3 linked regions of the Oryctolagus cuniculus genome follow. Each later gene encodes a partner of the first gene's protein in a complex. Links are inferred from orthologs where the notes say so. Each region holds a gene or a part of one and is shown in the gene's direction. Other genes may lie near its edges.

Region 1 (5,244 bases):
GGGGCCTGGAGGAAAGGGTGGGATGTGGATCTCCACAGCTGCTCTTCCCAGCTGTTTCCAGATTCCCATGAAAACCCGATCCTTTGGGGACAGTCCTGGGGGCTCGTCAGGGCCAGAGGGGCGAGATAGATTTCTTTCTGGCCCCCTGCCCAAACCTCGCTACCTGAGGCCTTCCGCGCCAGCTGCCTGGCTGCTCCCACCGCCCCAAAGCCCTCCATGCCAGCCCCTCCTCAGGCCCTGGTTTTAGAAGAGGAAATTTCCCTCCTGAGTTCCTTTTTTAGGCCCGCTGCCTAATTTCTGTAAGTCTGTCAGCAAATTGTCTTCGATCTTCTACTCTGAATCATTTCTCGTCTCTTGTGAAATGCGTCAGAAATGCACATGAAATCCTTGCACCGAAAACAGTAGCGACCTGGCCAGCGCGCCAGGGGGTGCCCCTCGCCTTCCGAAAGCCCAGGCCTTGCTCTGACCGCCCCCGGATTTGGGCGATGACCGTTTGCTTGCCTTTCAGACTAATCGTACTCACGTACGCTTCCCTTTGAGTTTAGCTTAGTTTCCCCTGTTGTACATTCCCTAAACGGAATTACAACAGTCACGTGTTGCTTAATGATGGGGCGGGGGGGGGGGGGGCGCAGCCTGAGAGCTGCGTTGTTAGGGGATTTCGTTGTCACCTGAACGTCATAGAGGGGACTCACAGCAGCCTGGGTGGGCCAGCGCACTCCACACCTGGTGTGGGCGAGCCTGTGAGCTGGGCTTCTACGGGGCAGGCAGTGCAGTAGGTGTGTCTACAGCGGCATCACCACCGACACCTGAGGAATGTGTGGCCCCACTGCGTTGTGACAGTGGCTGTGATGTCACTCGGCAACAGGGCTTTTGCAACTGCATTCAGACCTTCCGGGACCACCCTGGTCCTGTGGCTCATCCCAGACAGGGAAGTCTGCAGAGCGGGGCTGTCTTGTTTTGTGTCTCCATAGCACCGCTTACTCAGTGGGACGCGTTCTGAGAGACACACTGTTACGTGATTGCCATTGTGTGAACATCCTAGATGCTTCCTCAAGCCGGGGAGGTGTGGCCTGCTACAGACCTAGGCTGGAACGCTGTACAGCGTGCGACCGTCCTGAACACTGTAGACAGTTGTGACACAAAGGGAATGCCCAGATCTAAATGCAGAAAAGTACAGCCCAAATCCAGGTGACAGGCAATTTCTCAGCTCCATTATACTCGCAAGGGAACACCATCATCTTTTGTCTTTGTAAAATTCATCCCTGATAATGAGAATAATGGTTCATTTGGCTCACTGCTGAGTAATATTCCATTGTGGCTGGAATTCCAGTGTAAACTTACGTTAATGCACACATTCATGTTGTTTTCTATTACTGAAGGGCCTTTGCTTTTTCCAGTTTGAGTCTATTTCAAACGTTTTTCAAGAAGTTTTCAAACTGTGTGTGTTTATATGTGTATATATATATGTATATATATATATATATCTTGGTTATTTTAAAGATTTGCTTATTTATTTTGAAAGTCAGAGTTACAGAGAGAGAGAGAGGTCTTCCATCCACTGGTTCCCTTCCCAGATGACCATAATGGCCAGTGCTGGGCCAGGCTGAAGCCAGGAGCCAGGAGCTTCTTCAGATCTCCTGTGTGGGTACAGGGGCCCAGGGACTTGGGCCATCTTCCTCTGCTTTTCCCAAGCCATTAGCAGGGAGCTGGGTTGGAAGTAGAGTAGCTGAGACTTGAACCCAGTGCTGATATAGGATGCCAGCATTGCAGGTGGCAGCTTTACCCACTATGCCACAGCGCCGGCCCTTGCTTGTTTGGCTTCTAGGCTCCCTGCCCCTTTTTCATAAGCATGGTTACCCTAAAGTTTTCTAGGTATCTTATCCAAAAGACTCCATATTTCCTTGCCGTAAGCCCGTACTCCACTTCTCTAGGGCTGTTCTTCATTTTAAAGCTCCCACCAAAGGCATTCAGCTCTCAGAATTTTCCCCTCCTCTGCCAGAGTCACTGAGCACTTACTGTGAACCTCTTCCAAACCTTGCTCCTTGTGAGTTTCTTAGGGCCTGCCCACCAGCTTCCCCTTGGGCCCTTTGACTTCCGGTTCCACCCCGCCTGCCCAGGACTCTGCAGGTAGTGGTGGGCCCCCTCCTGCTGGCCCCCACATCCCGCCATGTGCTCTCCGCCCACAGTCCCGGCCAGCGTGCAGCTGCACACGGCGGTGGAGATGCACCACTGGTGCATCCCCTTCTCCGTGGATGGCCAGCCGGCTCCCTCCCTGCACTGGCTCTTCAATGGCTCCGTGCTCAACGAGACCAGCTTCATCTTCACCGAGTTCCTGGAGCCAGCGGCCAATGAGACCATGCGGCACGGCTGCCTGCGCCTCAACCAGCCCACCCACGTCAACAATGGCAACTACACGCTGCTGGCCACCAACCCCTCGGGCCAGGCTGCTGCCTCCATCATGGCTGCCTTCATGGACAACCCTTTCGAGTTCAACCCTGAGGACCCCATCCCTGGTACAAGAGTCACCCTGACCCCATTCTGGACGCCATCGGGGGTGGAGATCCAGGTGTCCAGGGCTATGACCCTGACCTTGGAAGTTGGAGTGCCTGGTCCCAGAGAGAAAGGAGCCTGGAGTCTTGGTGTCCAGCTCTATGCTGGCCTCCTTGCCCCTCCCCCAGCCAGGGCTTGCCATAGCTAGTACCCCAAAGAAGTGTTGAGCTGCTCCCGAGGTCCTGAGCCAGTCCCTCCACTTGGGGGCGCTGCAGAGAGAGCCACCAGGCAGCCATGGCTCAGACGCAAAAGGACCACCTGCGCCTTCTCCCTTGAGGCCCAGCAGCCCCACCCGCACCCCACGCAGGGCGGAGTCCCGGGGGGAGGGGGCCGGGGGCTCACTGCTGTCCTCCTCCATCTGACTGCTTTCTCTCCTGTCCTCCTGCGGCAGTTTCCTTCTCGCCAGTGGGTGAGTAGCCCAGTCCCGGGGCTGGGGGGTGGGTGGGGGAGGGCAGGTGCCGTGTGATCCCTGGAGCTGAGGCTGGGTCAGAGAGGCGCTCTGGGACCGGGTGGGGAGTTGCTGGAAGGGACACGGCGTGTGCCAAGGTGCCCCCTTCCTGCCCGGTGTCCTCACAGATGCCAACAGCACCTCTGGAGACCCGGTGGAGAAAAAGGACGAAACGCCTTTTGGGGTGAGCACGGCGGTGGCTGCTGACCCAGGACACCGGGTCGGGAGGCTGGGGAGCAGCCGCGAACCCTTCTGGCCAGAGCAGGGAGGTCACCTGTGGTCTGGCCTGAGCTCTGCCAGCCACCTTCACGGCCAGGCCTGTGTCCCTGGGGGAGGTGGAGGCAGGTGGTGTGTGGCTGGGGGCGGGGAGTGGTGGTCTTGGCTCTGCGCTCCTATGCAGGATGGAAAAGAGGTTTGCTGGGGGCAGGGGTGCGCCCTGGAGTGCGGCAGGCCCTGGAGCTCCCCGCCCCGCCCCCAGGTCTCGGTGGCTGTGGGCCTGGCTGTCTTTGCCTGCCTTTTCCTTTCCACACTGCTTCTCGTCCTCAACAAATGTGGACGGAGGAACAAGTTTGGGATCAACCGTGAGTTGGGGCTGCTGAGGGCTGTCTGTCTGTCTGTCTGTCCTCCGGGCTTTGTCTCCTGCTGGCTCAGGCCTCTGTCTGTCTCTGCGCATGTGGTGTTCCAGGGGGTGTGTTTGGGGTAGAGGCGAGGCCCGGCTGTGGGGCCCGTGGATGTGAGTGTGTGTGTGGCGGGGCTGGTGCCGCCGTAGTTTCGTCGGGAGCAGCTGCTAATTGGCGGCTGGATCGCACTCAAGCACTAAGTGGGTCTGGGAGGCCTGGGCTCGGTGGGGGGGTGGCAGTGGGGGAGTTCTTTGGTGCCCATGGGGCCAGGAGTTGGACAGGAGCCAGACAGAAGAGAGGCTGCGATGCCGCCCCTCCCCCTGCCTGCCGACTCGCTCCCTAGCTCCTGTCTGTCTCAGGCCAGTTAGGAGCTGGGGGTGTCCTATCACCCTGCAAACAAGGGTGGGTGAGGGCCCAGGTCTGCACCTGGCCTGTGACCCCTCCACCCGGCTGTGTCTCTTCCCCAGGGCCTGCGGTGCTGGCTCCAGAAGATGGACTGGCCATGTCCCTGCATTTCATGACATTGGGTGGCAGCTCTCTGTCCCCTACTGATGGCAAAGGCTCCGGGCTCCAAGGCCACATCATTGAGAACCCACAGTACTTCAGCGATGCCTGTGAGGGGCTATGCTGGGTCAAGGATGGGAGCAGAGAGTGAGAGAGAGAGAGAGAGAGAGAGAGAGAGAGAGAGAGGAGAATATGCATGTGTGTAGCAGAGGCCTCTGGGCCATCGTCTTTGCCTGTTCCAGGCCCTCCCTGCCTCCCACCTCCCCTACCCCTTCCCCAGCAACATCAGACCTTCCCCAGGCTGAGATCAACCTGACTCCCATCTGCAGGCCCCCCCCCGGGGGGGCCACCCAAGGCCCACACCGTGTCTCTCGGGGGCAGAGGCAGCCCCACACCAGCACATGGGGCTTGGTGACAGAGTGCAGGCTGGATTTCAGTCCCCATCCACCCCTTTGATGGCCCTGCCTCCTCTCCAACCCTCCCCCGGTGCCGCCCCAACCTGGGCCCTGCCTGACCCCGCAGCCCCCTCCAGGTGTCCATCATATTAAACGCCGGGACATCGTGCTCAAGTGGGAGCTGGGCGAGGGCGCCTTTGGGAAGGTCTTCCTGGCCGAGTGCCACCACCTGCTGCCCGAGCAGGACAAGACGCTGGTGGCGGTCAAGGTGAGACCCGGGTCTCGAGGCAGCCGCGTCTGCCCACCCAGGATTGGCAGGGTGTGAGGGGGAGGGGGGGTGTTTGGTGGGGAGGGGCTGGGCCGCTCAGTCCCTCCCCTGCCCCCAGGCGCTGAAGGAGGCGTCTGAGAGCGCGCGGCAGGACTTCCAGCGCGAGGCCGAGCTGCTCACCATGCTGCGGCACCAGCACATCGTGCGCTTCTTCGGCGTGTGCACCGAGGGCCGCCCGCTGCTCATGGTCTTTGAGTACATGCGGCACGGAGACCTCAACCGCTTCCTCCGGTAGGAGCCGCTGGCGCCGTGGCCCCTGGCTCTGCGTGCCCTCTGCGCTTCCCCCGCCCGCACGTCCCCGCTGGGCCATCAAACCTGGGAGGACCCCTAGAAGGAAGAGAAGAGAAAGGCACAGCGCCTGTCCCTGAGGATCGGCGAGCTGGGAGAGGGGGCAGAAGT
Region 2 (5,774 bases), about 13 Mb from region 1:
AGGGGCCCTTATTAAACCAGCATGTACCATAAGAATCTGCTCAGCCCTTTGAGGGCTGGGGCGGCCAGCTCAGATTCTGTTCGCATCGTTTTCAATTTCCCTCTTAACATACCACATGAAAAAGGACCACAAGTGCCCCAAATCCTTTTGTCCTTCTGGGTGACGCCACAAGGACACATGGCAAAGCTCCGCATGCAACAAGCAAGCTCCCTGGTACTCTAGAATTTTTAGTCTTCATCCCAAATTCTCAGGGAGCTATTCCGTAGAGCTAGGGGCTGGTGCTTTCAAAGCAAGTTTGTATACGACATGATTGATGGGCCGGCATATCCTATTGTCTGGAAATCCCTTTGTTTAATCATCAATGATAAATTGCCTAATGGACCACCCTGGCTGTGATGCTCCTGTGGCAAAAAGCGCCGTTTACGGTGGTCCCTGGCCTCTTGCCCCAGCCCCCGGCCCCCAACCTGTGCACATCCAGCAGCCTGCATGTGAACAGCTCAGCCCGGGACAAGCCTTTGCTGGGGACTGCTGAGGACACCCCAAAGCTCACGCTCAGTTCCAATTCTCAGGTTTCCTTCCTTCCTCATTCTTGTCCCCGCAGGAATAAAGGGCCTGAATTTAGGACGGCGGGGGGGGGGGGGGGGGCGCAAAGGTGGGGAGAGAAAGGAGCAGAGACCTCAGGCCAAGTTAAGCCAAGAGCATCGGCAATGCCCAGGCAAGGCTGAAGGAGACCGGCCACCCTGCACTTCCGCCAGGAGCCCGGGGCCTCGCCAAGATCTCCGCGCGCTGGGCTGCACTGCCTCTGGCTTGTGCTGCCCGGTGTGAGGTGTGAAGTCACCAGTAACTCAGGGAGACGCAAGCCCTCCTCCGCCCTCTCCAGCACTCTCCCCGCTTCCATTCCTCCCCTGCAGCATCCACACAGGGTAGGGACTCGGCATGCCTCTGCCGAAGCCCGTAAGCGAACGCATCCGGCAAGCTCACGGCAGGGAGGGAGGGGCAGGGATGCAGTTTTGCGAAGACTTGTAGTTCCGGAGCGTGTTATTCTGGTTAATGATGCCCACTGGTGAGAACTCTGGTTTGAGGGGTATTTCTCCCCGGCTAGCCTGGGGCTGGGCTGGAAACGGCCTGAGCTGAAGGGCAAGCCGGCTCCCGATGGACAAAAGCCCCGTCAGGCCGTGAACCCCAAAGTATTGGAAAGGCCGCCTCACCTCAGGTGTGCATAAAGGGGGCTTGTGGGCAGGGTCGCCATCTACATCAGTTTGAGGTCAAAGACTCTTTGCAAAACCAACAAAAGCTGCGGATCTTCGACCCAGAAAAACGCAGGCATCCGGCACACACTGCAAGCCCACCTGTGATTACAGGAGGGTTGGGGACCCTGGACAGTCTTTAATTAAGGCCCAGGGTCTACATTCTGACGCCTAAGGTCCTCTGACCCTAACTCCACGCCGACCTCGCTCCCGCCCCCAGAGCCTAGCACCGGCTCTGGCAGCTGCTGCCCGCCCTGGTGGCAAAGGAGCCAAGGGCATCCTGCACCCCGCGCGGCTCCCCCGGGTGCTCGCTTAGCCCCTCCACAGGGCGCGGGAGCAGCCAACGCCTGGGGCACCGAGGGCCAAGTGGCGCAGACCAGGGAGGCGCGGGCGGCCGGCAGCGCGCGGGGGCAGGGCAGGACGGCGAGGGCAGCGCTGCGCAACTCCGCCCCGCCCCGCCCCGGCTCAGGGGCGTCGGGGGCTGGCACCCCTGCCCGGAGCGCCAGAAAAGCCCCAGCCCGGCTTCGGCCGCGCGCCAGCTCCCACCCCGGCGCCTTTCCCTTCGACCCCCGGAGGTTCGTTGACCTCTGGAGGTCTGAATCCTTCCCCCGGCTTGGCCCTGCCAGCCCTCCCGGGAGAGAGCGATCGCTCGTCCTCAGGACCCCCTACAGCCGGGCATCTTGGCGTGGCCACAGCAGGTGCGGGGCTGGGGGTGGGGAGGGGTGGGGTGGGGGTGCAGAATTAAGAGCGGGTGTGACTCAGGAGTCCGGGAGGAGGGGCTAAGAATTCAAGAAGCCTGTGCTGGAGCAGCTCGGCGCTCCGGCTCAGCAGAGAGCGCTGGGAGCCCGAGGGGAGCGCAGCGGTGAGTCAGGCTGCCCCGAGCCGAGCCCGAGAGGGGTGCAGCGCGGGCGCTGGCGGGCCGGGGCGGCGGGGCTCCCCGGGAGACTGTGCTTGGAGCCCGGTCGGGCGAGCTCTCCGGGCACCCCCGAGAGGAGTGTCCCTAGAGGGCGCGAGACCCTTGGCTGGCGGGCGGGCGGGTGGAAGGGCGCAGCGCTCCCTCTGGTCCTGGGGCACGGTCCCGGGATGGCCAGAAGTGCGAGAGGCCACCTGGCTCCTGCAGAAGCCGCACGGCCATGCCTGGGAGCAGCTCGAGGGCCGGAAGGGGACAGCGCGCAAGTGAGGGAGAGCGAATGCGCGTGGCGAGAGGGATGCGCGGGCAGCAAGCGCGCCGGGGTTGGCGAGTGGTGGCCCGCGCCGCGGAGGGCTCCGGGCGCCGGAGTGGCTAAAGTGCTTCACTGCCCGCAGGTATCAGGACGAGCGGGCCAGGGAGCGCTGGAGCTGGTGCAAGGAATAGGGCGAGGGTCTCAGGGCTTGCCCGCGCGTCGTAGAAGGCCTTGGGGGTCCGGCCTGGGGTCCTCCACGGGTTGACACTGGCAGCCTGCGCGCCAAGTGCCGGGGTTCAGCATCTGCGCTGCACATCCTCGGGAGGTCGCCAAGGCTCAGCCCTGCCCCTGGGTCACATGCCTCACCTCTAGCTGTGTGTTGCCAGGTGTGGGAGAGCTGGCAACGGCAGGCTGGGGTGGGCAGCGCCGTGGGTTCAGGCAGCGAGGCTGGAGGGGCGGGAGAGAGAGGACTCAGGGGTCAGGGAGCTACAACTTTGAGCCAACATAAACAAGCAACTTAGCTCTGCTTGCTTATGCTCTTCTCCCCCCCCCCCCCCCCCCCGATCTCTGAGAATCTCGTGGAAGGTGTTTTCTGCTTGAACTTTCTCTTCTCTCATGACTTGAGAGATTAAAAAAGAGCCTGCTTGCTAGGCTGGTTTTTCCAAGTTGTTCCAGGTTGGAAGTTGTAACAGTTTGAAGGATAATTTATGGGTGTTTTGTGCGTTAACGTGTATTACAGCAAAGCCTTTTGGGTGCTGTGGGTATTAAGGAAAACTCAGTGCACGTTCCCAGCTGGAAACCAAAATAGTGCTCTCCTGGGTGTCTCTGCCCCCTCTGGCATCTGAGGCCAGTGGAAATCCTGGAGAAAAGGCACTTGATGAATTGTCCTGGCTCCATCCGCTGGGCACACCCACTGCCCTGCCAGGCCCCTCCCCCCACCACAGGCATGGCCAGCTGCATTCTGCACATTCAGAAACGGGGATGGAGGGCCCTCCAGGGGCTGCCCTCGGGGGTCTTGAGCCTCCTGAAGCTGACGGTGAAGTCCGCCGGTTGGCCTGAACTCTTGCTCCCTGTGCAGAGGCACGCGGAGAGGCTGCCTTTGGCCGTCAGGCCTCTGCTGTTGAGGAAGTCATAGCCAAGGTGGGCACCTGGTGCCAACTCAGGATGGCAGTATTCCCAGGGGTCCAGGGAGCACTGGTGGCCCCCGGGGTGAGAGTGGTCTGGGGGCTGAGGACCAGTGCATCTGGCATGGATTCTCAGGAGCAGTGAGTGTCCCTCTTGCTGGGGAGGGGGAAGGGGAGGGGTTCGTGCCACGTGCGGCCAAACTCCTCCCTCATCTGCATCCTAACATCTGTAGGCAGGAAAGAAAAGGGACACCTGGAAGAGCAGCCAGTTAGGAGGCACCGCAGACAGGAAGGCCGGGTCGTTGGGCCTGGAAACACACGTCTGGATAGAACCGGACAAGTACCTCGGAGGACTTGATAAGCAGCCATAGGTACTGCTGCCTTCCCTGGGCAGCCGTCTTACTCCAGGCCCCCTAGCGAACTGGGCCTGCTGGGGGTGGTCACCCTAGTGGCTGTGGCTCTTTCCCTACACTTACTCCTTAGCAAGGAATGAGGCTCTCGCTTTCTGCTGCGCCTCCCACCCCAAGGACCAGTGGGAACCCGGGAGGAGGCTTCACCCTCCCATTCCCTTTCTGGGAGAAAGCTGTGCCTTGGCCAGGAAGGGGGCCCCAGCTGCCGACATCGGTAGGGAGGGTAGGGCATGGCAGGGCAGGGCTGGAGCCCGAGGGGAGTTTCTCATCATTGCTGAAATTCAAATGATGAGAAAATCACACAACGTTACTTTCTGGTGAGTGCTGGGTGCCGCTGCTGCTCACTCGAGGGTGCTCAGCCGGAACACACCGCATCGGAGCTTCAGAGGGAACCACAGACAGAGCCGGTCACTGTTCTTCTGTACCGGGCATGGAGTGGGGCCGAGGCACAGACCCCCGAGCAGACGTTCATGCCAGACTTGAGACCAGAGGCCTGGCCGTTTACTTCTCCCAGTAAGAACTTGGAGGGACTTCAGGTCCGGAGCAGGCTTTGGAGACCTTTGCTGGCAGCATGTACTCGCTCTGCTCCCAAGAGGCTGTGGAAGGTTTGCAGAGGGCATGTACTGCATGCATCTCTGGATATCTGTGAGCAAACAGGCCATGTTCCCAGAAGGTGTCTCCTTCTTTGCCTGGCACCTTGGAGCTTGCAAACCATCTGCCCTCGGGGCTGAGACGTGCTGCAGAAGCCTGCTCCGTGGCGGACCAGTTTCACAGAACAGCATATGGTGGCATCAGTCAGATAAATGAGGACAAAGGACCCTTGCCCACCCCATTCCCAAGACCCCTCACTTGCTGACAGTGGGAAGACAGTTAAGACACCGGCTGCAAACAGCAGCAAGACCAGGATGCCCTTGAGGCTGCTGAAGCAGCTGGAGAAACTGAGGCTGTGGGCCTGGCCTTTCAGTTGGGTGTGCACAAGTGTGGAAGTGTTGCTATTTGAGCCAGGAATAGACTGTTAGCCACAGAGTTTAGTCAAGACCAGAAAAATGAAAACATACGATCGCAATGAGTTTCTTGTGGTTTGGGATATTTGCCTCACTCTTCTGCAGACTCCTTTGCAGGCTTCGGAGGAGTTTCTGTAGGCTGTTGGCTTCCGCCTATGGTAGCAGTAGGAATCGGATTGAGAAGCAGGGACGATCTCTTGATGTTTTTCTCCTGTTTTTCGGGAAAACGGCCAGCGGTGGTTTTCTCAGTTGTGGCAAAGGAAGGAAAGTAGCTTTGCGACCCTGAGCAAGTGACTCAACAGCTAGGGCGTCACTTTCCCAAACTAGAAGGCAAATGCAGTGGATGAGCGCGGTTTCTCAGCAGGCCTATTAGCACGTCTCGGGTAAGTGTGACCGATCTGCACAGTGCAGGAGGTTTAGTATTCCTGCCTCCCCTCCTAAGTGTCGGGAGTCACGGTGACAGCCCCCAACAGCCCTCCTGCAGGGCTAGATGCTTGCATTGAAAGGCAAGGCTGCACCCGATCGAGGACACCCTTGAAAGGAGTTCCGGTCCCACTGTTGGGGCCTCCCTGACTTAGTCGCTGAGTTGGGATTCGGAAGCGCAGTCCAGGGCTCATCCTCTGCGAGCCAGTGTATCAGGCCTCAGTGTTCCTGCTGGGTGTCATCCTTTGCCTTTGTGAGTAGAGTGGGACTGCACATGACCCGCAGGAGGGTGGGGGAAGGGCCAGGTGGTATCAGAATCTGCCATCTGCTATGGAAACTCAGGCAGACCGGCTGCCTGGGGGGCCGCGGTGCCGGGAGGAAACCCTTCTCTGCCTTACCAAGT
Region 3 (5,864 bases), about 1.6 Mb from region 1:
CTCCTGGAAGTCTGCTGCGCATCCTAGAGGGCCACGCCCCCTAAGGAACTCGATCCGGGTGGCACCCAAGTCATCACCCCAGTTTCCTCAGTCTCAGAAGCTCCACCTGCTTACGTTTCCTGTCCTTTCTCTCTTGGGGCCTTGGGCTCAGTTTTCCCGAGGGCTTTCCCGCTCCACTAGGTGGGAGCTCTGAGGAGTGAGATTAGAGGCAGCCTTATCCTCCCCCAAGGGTGGGCCTGGGCTTGGGGTTTGGCCCGAGGACGGGACAGAGGCTTGCTCATAGTTTCCCAGCCCACCGCAGAAACAGCTGTAGGTTGAGGCTGTGGCTAGACAGGGCCGTGGATTTGCTGATGTGTGGCTTGAGGACGTGACAGGAGAGAGAACTTTGTACTACCAGAAAACGGTGGTTTGCAATGGGGTTAGGGATTTGTATCCTGTTTTTTTTTCTTTTTTCTTTTAAGGGACTCCTCAGCCTCTACTTGTTTGGCTCCATCCCCCGCACCCCCAGCCAAAATTCTTGTCTGGGCATTCCTCCTGGCTCCACTTGTCCTGCCTTCCCTGCTGGAAACATTCCTCAGGCTTTCGCCATTTCCTGCCCCTTCCCGCTCCTCCCGCCTCCTCCCTGCTGGGCTCCCCCCTCCAACACCCAATCACCTGAACTTCCAGTAGGCTCTCACTTCTCCCTATGCAAATTTAGAGACAGACTCCCTCTTTTCTTTGAAATGCTCACACCTGTTGGTCATCCTCTGCCTGCCCATACTGCAGGCTTCCAGAGAGTGCTGACCCTAAGGATGAGGGTGTGTGTGTGTGTGTGTGTGTGTGTGGCTGTGGAAGAAACCTTTCCTTCTCTCGGCCTGGGGTCTTAGGAAATAGAGTGACAGATTCTCCTGCCATGAGGACGAAGAGGAGGTGAGAGCGTATCTAGCACATTTTAAGTGCTAGAATTGGTCATCGTTATAGATTTCTTTTAATCTTCTGACTTAGAGCTAAGGGTAATTCCGAGGTGAGCCTAGGGGAAGAGGTATCTACTTCTTGTGTTTTGGTCATTTTCCAACTTCCTCCAAGGCTTCCTCAAGCAGAGCTGTGGCAGGAAGCCACGGAGGTTTGGAGGTTTGGGACTGTTCTCCGCACATGGTTCACTGCCACATGTTTGCCTGCCTCCTGACCTCCATCGCTTGGTGACTCCTCCCCTGGTGTGAGGGGCACTGCTGGAGGAGGGCTGGGAGGATACCTGGTGGGCCCAGGGACTGCCCTGTCCTCACCCTTGCCAGCGTGCAGAACAGTGCTTGGCCACTGGCCACTGCCTGCTTGGTGTGGTGGGTGCCAGGAGCAGAGGAGGAGGCTTGACCCACACGTCCTCTGGCTGCAGCTCTAGCCTGCTGGCTCCTTGGTGGCCCCCTGGGGTTGGGCTTTTATTTCCCTGACTTCCCAAGTTTTGCCCTTCCTCTGGGTCCCAGTGTGCACCCACTGGGACCACTTCCTTCCTTTTCCCATTTCCCTAGTTCCATTCCACAGCTGCCCTGGAAGAGGATGCTAATGGCCTAAGCTCCCTGGGGCCCTCACCCCACTGGATGTGGCAGTGATGAGGGGTGGCCTGGGCTGGACCATGGAGGAATTTGCGTGTTCCAGCAGGACAGGAAGGGAAATGCTGAGCTCTGGGATCTCCTCCCTTTTCCACCCCCAGCTGCCTCTGTTTCCTCCCTCATTCCCCCTCCCCTCCCCTGACTTCCTGCCCATGTCCGGTTTGGATTGATCCAGACCGTCTCTTATCTCCCTCCTCTCCTTCCTCCTCCATCCTTTCCTCCAAACTCCCACTTCTCCCCCAGATCACTAGTTGTTTGTTTAGGGTAGGGGAGAGGGGCAGGATAGCTCTGCCCCTGCCTGAGTTCTGGGCTGGGGCGGCGGCAGTGGGGGCTCAGCCCCTCTGAGCCTGTGAGTCAGCACTGTCCTCCGGATTGGTCTCTCTCCTTAGCTCCCCGCCCCTGGGGAGGAGCCAGGCAGCTCTGGGTCCAGCCTGTTCTCTTCTCTGCCAGAGAAGAGGCTCCACGCTGGGCGGGGATGGGGCCTGAAACTGTCTGGGTCTGAGCTGGGGGAGCGGAAGCCACTTGCCCCTCTCCCTCCCCAGGACTCCTGCCCCTCCTGGGCCACAGAGGCCCGGCAGGCTCGGGGCCTGGGGATGCCCCCTGCCTGGCCCCCTTGCCCCAGCTGGCAGGGGGGCCGGGCCGGGCAGCAGCCCTGCTCTCGCCCCAGCCATGGATCTCTTGCCCCCCAAGCCCAAGTACAACCCACTTCGGAATGAGTCTCTGTCGTCGCTGGAAGAGGGGGCTTCAGGGTCCACCCCTCCGGAGGAGCTGCCTTCCCCTTCAGCCTCGTCCCTGGGGCCAATCCTGCCCCCTCTGCCCGGGGACGACAGTCCCACCACCCTGTGCTCCTTCTTCCCCCGGATGAGCAACCTGAAGCTGGCCAACCCTGCTGGGGGCCGCCTGGGGCCCAAGGGGGAGCCAGGAAGGGCAGCCGAGGATGGGGAGGGGATCACAGGGGCAGCCATGCCGGACTCAGGCCCCCTGCCCCTCCTCCAGGACATGAACAAGCTGAGTGGAGGCGGCGGGCGCAGGACTCGGGTGGAAGGGGGCCAGCTGGGGGGCGAGGAGTGGACCCGCCACGGGAGCTTTGTCAATAAGCCCACGCGGGGCTGGCTGCATCCCAACGACAAAGTCATGGGACCTGGGGTTTCCTACTTGGTTCGGGTGAGTGAACATCCTCCCCTGCACTCCCTCCCATACCCCTGCAGCTCCTCTGCTCGCGGCAGCTTTGTGGGACTCCTCCTGCTCTCCCTCAGCAGCCCCTCTGTCGCCGCGTCCTGCTTCTTAACCTTTCTGCCTGATCTCTGACCTCTTCCAGCTCTGCCAGGGCCCTCCTCCTTCTTTTGCCTACCCACCCCCACCCTGCCATGCTTCGCACAATGCCCAGCACCTCGGAGGCGAGTGTGGGCATGAGGACTCCTGGACTCCCCCCGGTGGACCCCTCCCGCTTCTGGAGGTGTCACCCATCCCACCCAGTGCCCAGCACTGCCCTCCAGTCTCCCCCAGTGCATGAGGCGCTCCCAGCTTGTCCTCTCTCTCTCTCTCTCCTCACTCCCCGTTGTCTTGTACATTGTGGGATGTAGCTGCGGGCAGTGAGCGAGCTGCCTCAGCTTTCCTTCCCTTAGGGACTATGGAGGGAAAAGTCCTAGGGCCCTAGCGCTGGGGTGGGGGGAGGTGGCTGAACTGCTGTCCCCCTCCCCTCAGTACATGGGCTGTGTGGAGGTCCTGCAGTCAATGCGTGCCCTCGACTTCAACACCCGGACGCAGGTCACCAGGTTAGTGGGGGGGAGGGGGAGGGCTTGTGGGAGTCCTGGGGTTAGTAAGGCTGTGGGAATGGGGAGTGGGGCCCTTGGTGCAGGTGGCCTACCTGTGGGTGGGCAGGTGGGTTGAGAGAAAGTTGGGACAGTGAGTCCAAGTGTGACTGAAAAGAGACACCTCTGGGCTGGATCCTTGTTACCTCTCCGGCCTTTAGAGTTGTGGGGCTAGGGCAGAAAGTGGGGTTAGACCGGTGGTGGCTGCTGCCTTTGGGAAGGGAATGGGAGGTTTGGTGGCTGGAAGGGGGTGGGGCCGTACCCATTGAGGCCCTAACCCAATCAGCCAGGAAGCGGCCTCTCAGTGTCATCAAATATTAAAGGCCCTTAATTCAATCCACCACGACAAAGAGCCTGGAGTGCCCTGGGAGTCTGGCCTGGCCCTCCCCTCCCCCAGCCCTGTGGCAGCCCCAGCCGAGTGGGAGGCAGCCTGTGGGTCTGAGCACCCCTCTTTCCCCAGGGAGGCCATCAGTCTGGTGTGTGAGGCTGTGCCGGGTGCTAAGGGAGCCACACGGAGGAGAAAGGTACCTGGGGTGGCTGGGGCTGGGATGGTGCTGGGTGATGTGGAGGGGCAAGGGGAAGGCAGAAGTGTTTCCTGGTGTCGGGAACCCTCGGCTTCTGAGACTCTGGGCCTTTTCTAGCCCTGTGGCCGCCCGCTCAGCTCTATCCTGGGGAGGAGTAACCTGAAATTTGCTGGAATGCCAATCACTCTCACCGTCTCCACCAGCAGCCTCAACCTCATGGCCGCAGACTGTAAACAGGTTGGTGGGGTTAGGTAGGGGGTACCAGAGACATGGGAGGTAGGGCTAGGGGCAGATGTAGTTGTGAGGCCAAAAACTAAGGTGGAGGGCTTTGGAGTAGCCAGAAGGTAGGAAGAAGTTAGGGTGAGAAGCTAAGAGAATGAGGCTGGGACGGCAGGGTTCTGGGCCAGGGGTGGGGGCTGACACATGCCATTCTTTTCCTTTTCCATCCCCCGTGCCAATTCTCAGATCATTGCCAACCACCACATGCAGTCTATCTCATTTGCGTCCGGCGGAGATCCGGTGAGTTGGGGAACAGAGCACAGGTTGGGGGGGGGGAGGGGAAGGGGCTAAGGATTGGGAAGCCATCAGCCAGGGCAGTGGGGGAGGTAGGGTTGCAGAGGTATTTGAAAAAGACTGGGTTTAGGCATCAGGAGTAAGGTGGAGCTGTAGAATTTAGCTAACCTGCCCCTTCTCACTCTGTCTGTCTTAGGACACAGCCGAGTATGTTGCCTACGTTGCCAAAGACCCCGTGAATCAGAGAGGTGAGGCATGGTGGGGCGCACTGGGTGGGGCGGGATGGCGGTGCGGCAGGTGAGGGGGACCAGGGCCGCCCTTCCCCTCTCACCGAGCAGAGATGAGGAGGGGCTTCTGCTGAGGAGGATCAGTCCCCCACACCCCCGCCCGAGACCCCGCCTCAGAGCTCACCGGCAGCCTTCGCTGTACCTGCAGCCTGCCACATCCTGGAGTGTCCCGAAGGGCTTGCCCAGGATGTCATCAGCACCATTGGCCAGGCCTTCGAGTTACGCTTCAAACAATACCTCAGGAACCCACCCAAGCTGGTCACCCCCCATGACAGGTGAGCACGGTGGGGTGTGGGCCAGCTGTTGGGCCCCAGACCCAGATTGGGAATGCAGGTCTACTCTTCCCACGCCAGAGCTCGGGGAGGTTCAGGGAAAGAAATAACCTGTGTGCCCTGCTTCCTACTTCCTGCGATTCTTGGGTTTCCGGTGGCCATTAGGCCGCCTGCTGCAGGGCCAGCTCTTCCTCTCGCTTGCCTGTGGTGGGGCTGTATTTCAGGGCCTCCAAACTGCATTTCTTTCTCTGGCTGAATGAGCTTTTCTCTTCCCAGCCGCCACCTCATTACTAGCCTCGCCCTCTTTCTTGCCTATTTCTCTTTCATTTTCTGTGTTTTCCTATTTCTAGAAGCCACCAGGCTCGTGGATCTTGGAGGAAGGCTGTTTGTCCTGAGACCCCTTCCTTTCCCACTGTAGGCTTTAAGGAATGAGCAGTGGGCCAGTAGGGATGGTGTATTTGGAAGTTCAAGTCCTCCGGCACATGCCCTCCCCACTATTTCGTGCTTCCCCTTCCTCTCAGGAAATAGCCTGGTGGTCAAGGGCATGAGCTGTAAAGTCAAAGCTGAGTTTAAATCTTGCCTATAGCACCTTTTAGTTGGGAGATCTTGGATAAATCTTTTCACCTCTCACCTTAATTTTCCTCCTCTATAAAACTAGGGAGGGAAACCAGGAGGGTGAAATGACTGTACCTGGGAAACACCCAGCCTCAGGCCTGCGGACTGAAGGCTCGCTGTGTGTGTGATGTGCTGTGGGGTTCCCCTCGCCCTGCCCGGCTCTCCTGCGTACTCACACTCCTGTGCCTTCCTGTCCCTCCCAGAATGGCCGGCTTTGATGGATCAGCTTGGGATGAGGAGGAGGAAGAGCTACCCGACC

Evidence for each region. The genes of interacting proteins can lie anywhere in the genome.
Region 2: the proteins of NTRK1 (region 1) and NGF are in contact, whole or in part, in a crystal structure (PDB 1WWW), measured with the Homo sapiens proteins. The link is inferred for Oryctolagus cuniculus from reciprocal best matches to the Homo sapiens genes NTRK1 and NGF. Residues at the interface, in NP_002520.2 of Homo sapiens: His291, Val294, Glu295, Met296, His297, Cys300, Pro302, Phe303, Ser304, Leu333, Glu334, His343, Gly344, Cys345, Arg347, Thr352, His353, Met379, Asp380, Pro382; in NP_001424474.1 of Homo sapiens: His125, Pro126, Ile127, Phe128, Arg130, Gly131, Glu132, Phe133, Ser134, Ser138, Ser140, Trp142, Tyr173, Phe175, Arg180.
Region 3: the proteins of NTRK1 (region 1) and SHC1 are in contact, whole or in part, in an NMR structure (PDB 1SHC), measured with the Homo sapiens proteins. The link is inferred for Oryctolagus cuniculus from reciprocal best matches to the Homo sapiens genes NTRK1 and SHC1. Residues at the interface, in NP_002520.2 of Homo sapiens: His489, Ile490, Ile491, Glu492, Asn493, Pro494, Gln495, Tyr496, Phe497; in NP_892113.4 of Homo sapiens: Met176, Arg177, Ala178, Leu179, Ser259, Ile260, Ser261, Phe262, Ala263, Ser264, Gly265, Gly266, Lys279, Asn283, Arg285, Ile301, Ile304, Gly305, Phe308, Glu309, Phe312, Lys313, Gln314, Tyr315.

Annotation. Positions count from the first base shown.
Region 1 is NC_091438.1:41,936,680-41,941,923, reverse strand, and holds part of NTRK1 (high affinity nerve growth factor receptor), read left to right. Parts: intron 1-2,186; coding exon 2,187-2,513; intron 2,514-2,941; coding exon 2,942-2,959; intron 2,960-3,126; coding exon 3,127-3,182; intron 3,183-3,476; coding exon 3,477-3,579; intron 3,580-4,085; coding exon 4,086-4,232; intron 4,233-4,654; coding exon 4,655-4,785; intron 4,786-4,903; coding exon 4,904-5,076; intron 5,077-5,244. UniProt on the Homo sapiens protein: Receptor tyrosine kinase involved in the development and the maturation of the central and peripheral nervous systems through regulation of proliferation, differentiation and survival of sympathetic and nervous neurons.
Region 2 is NC_091438.1:55,015,321-55,021,094, forward strand, and holds the start of NGF (beta-nerve growth factor), read left to right. Parts: upstream 1-1,926; 5' UTR 1,927-1,945; intron 1,946-2,021; exon of another isoform or gene 2,022-2,109; intron 2,110-5,774. UniProt on the Homo sapiens protein: Nerve growth factor is important for the development and maintenance of the sympathetic and sensory nervous systems.
Region 3 is NC_091438.1:43,538,374-43,544,237, forward strand, and holds the start of SHC1 (SHC-transforming protein 1), read left to right. Parts: upstream 1-2,016; 5' UTR 2,017-2,252; coding exon 2,253-2,747; intron 2,748-3,287; coding exon 3,288-3,358; intron 3,359-3,854; coding exon 3,855-3,918; intron 3,919-4,035; coding exon 4,036-4,155; intron 4,156-4,383; coding exon 4,384-4,437; intron 4,438-4,627; coding exon 4,628-4,679; intron 4,680-4,866; coding exon 4,867-4,993; intron 4,994-5,808; coding exon 5,809-5,864. UniProt on the Homo sapiens protein: Signaling adapter that couples activated growth factor receptors to signaling pathways. Participates in a signaling cascade initiated by activated KIT and KITLG/SCF.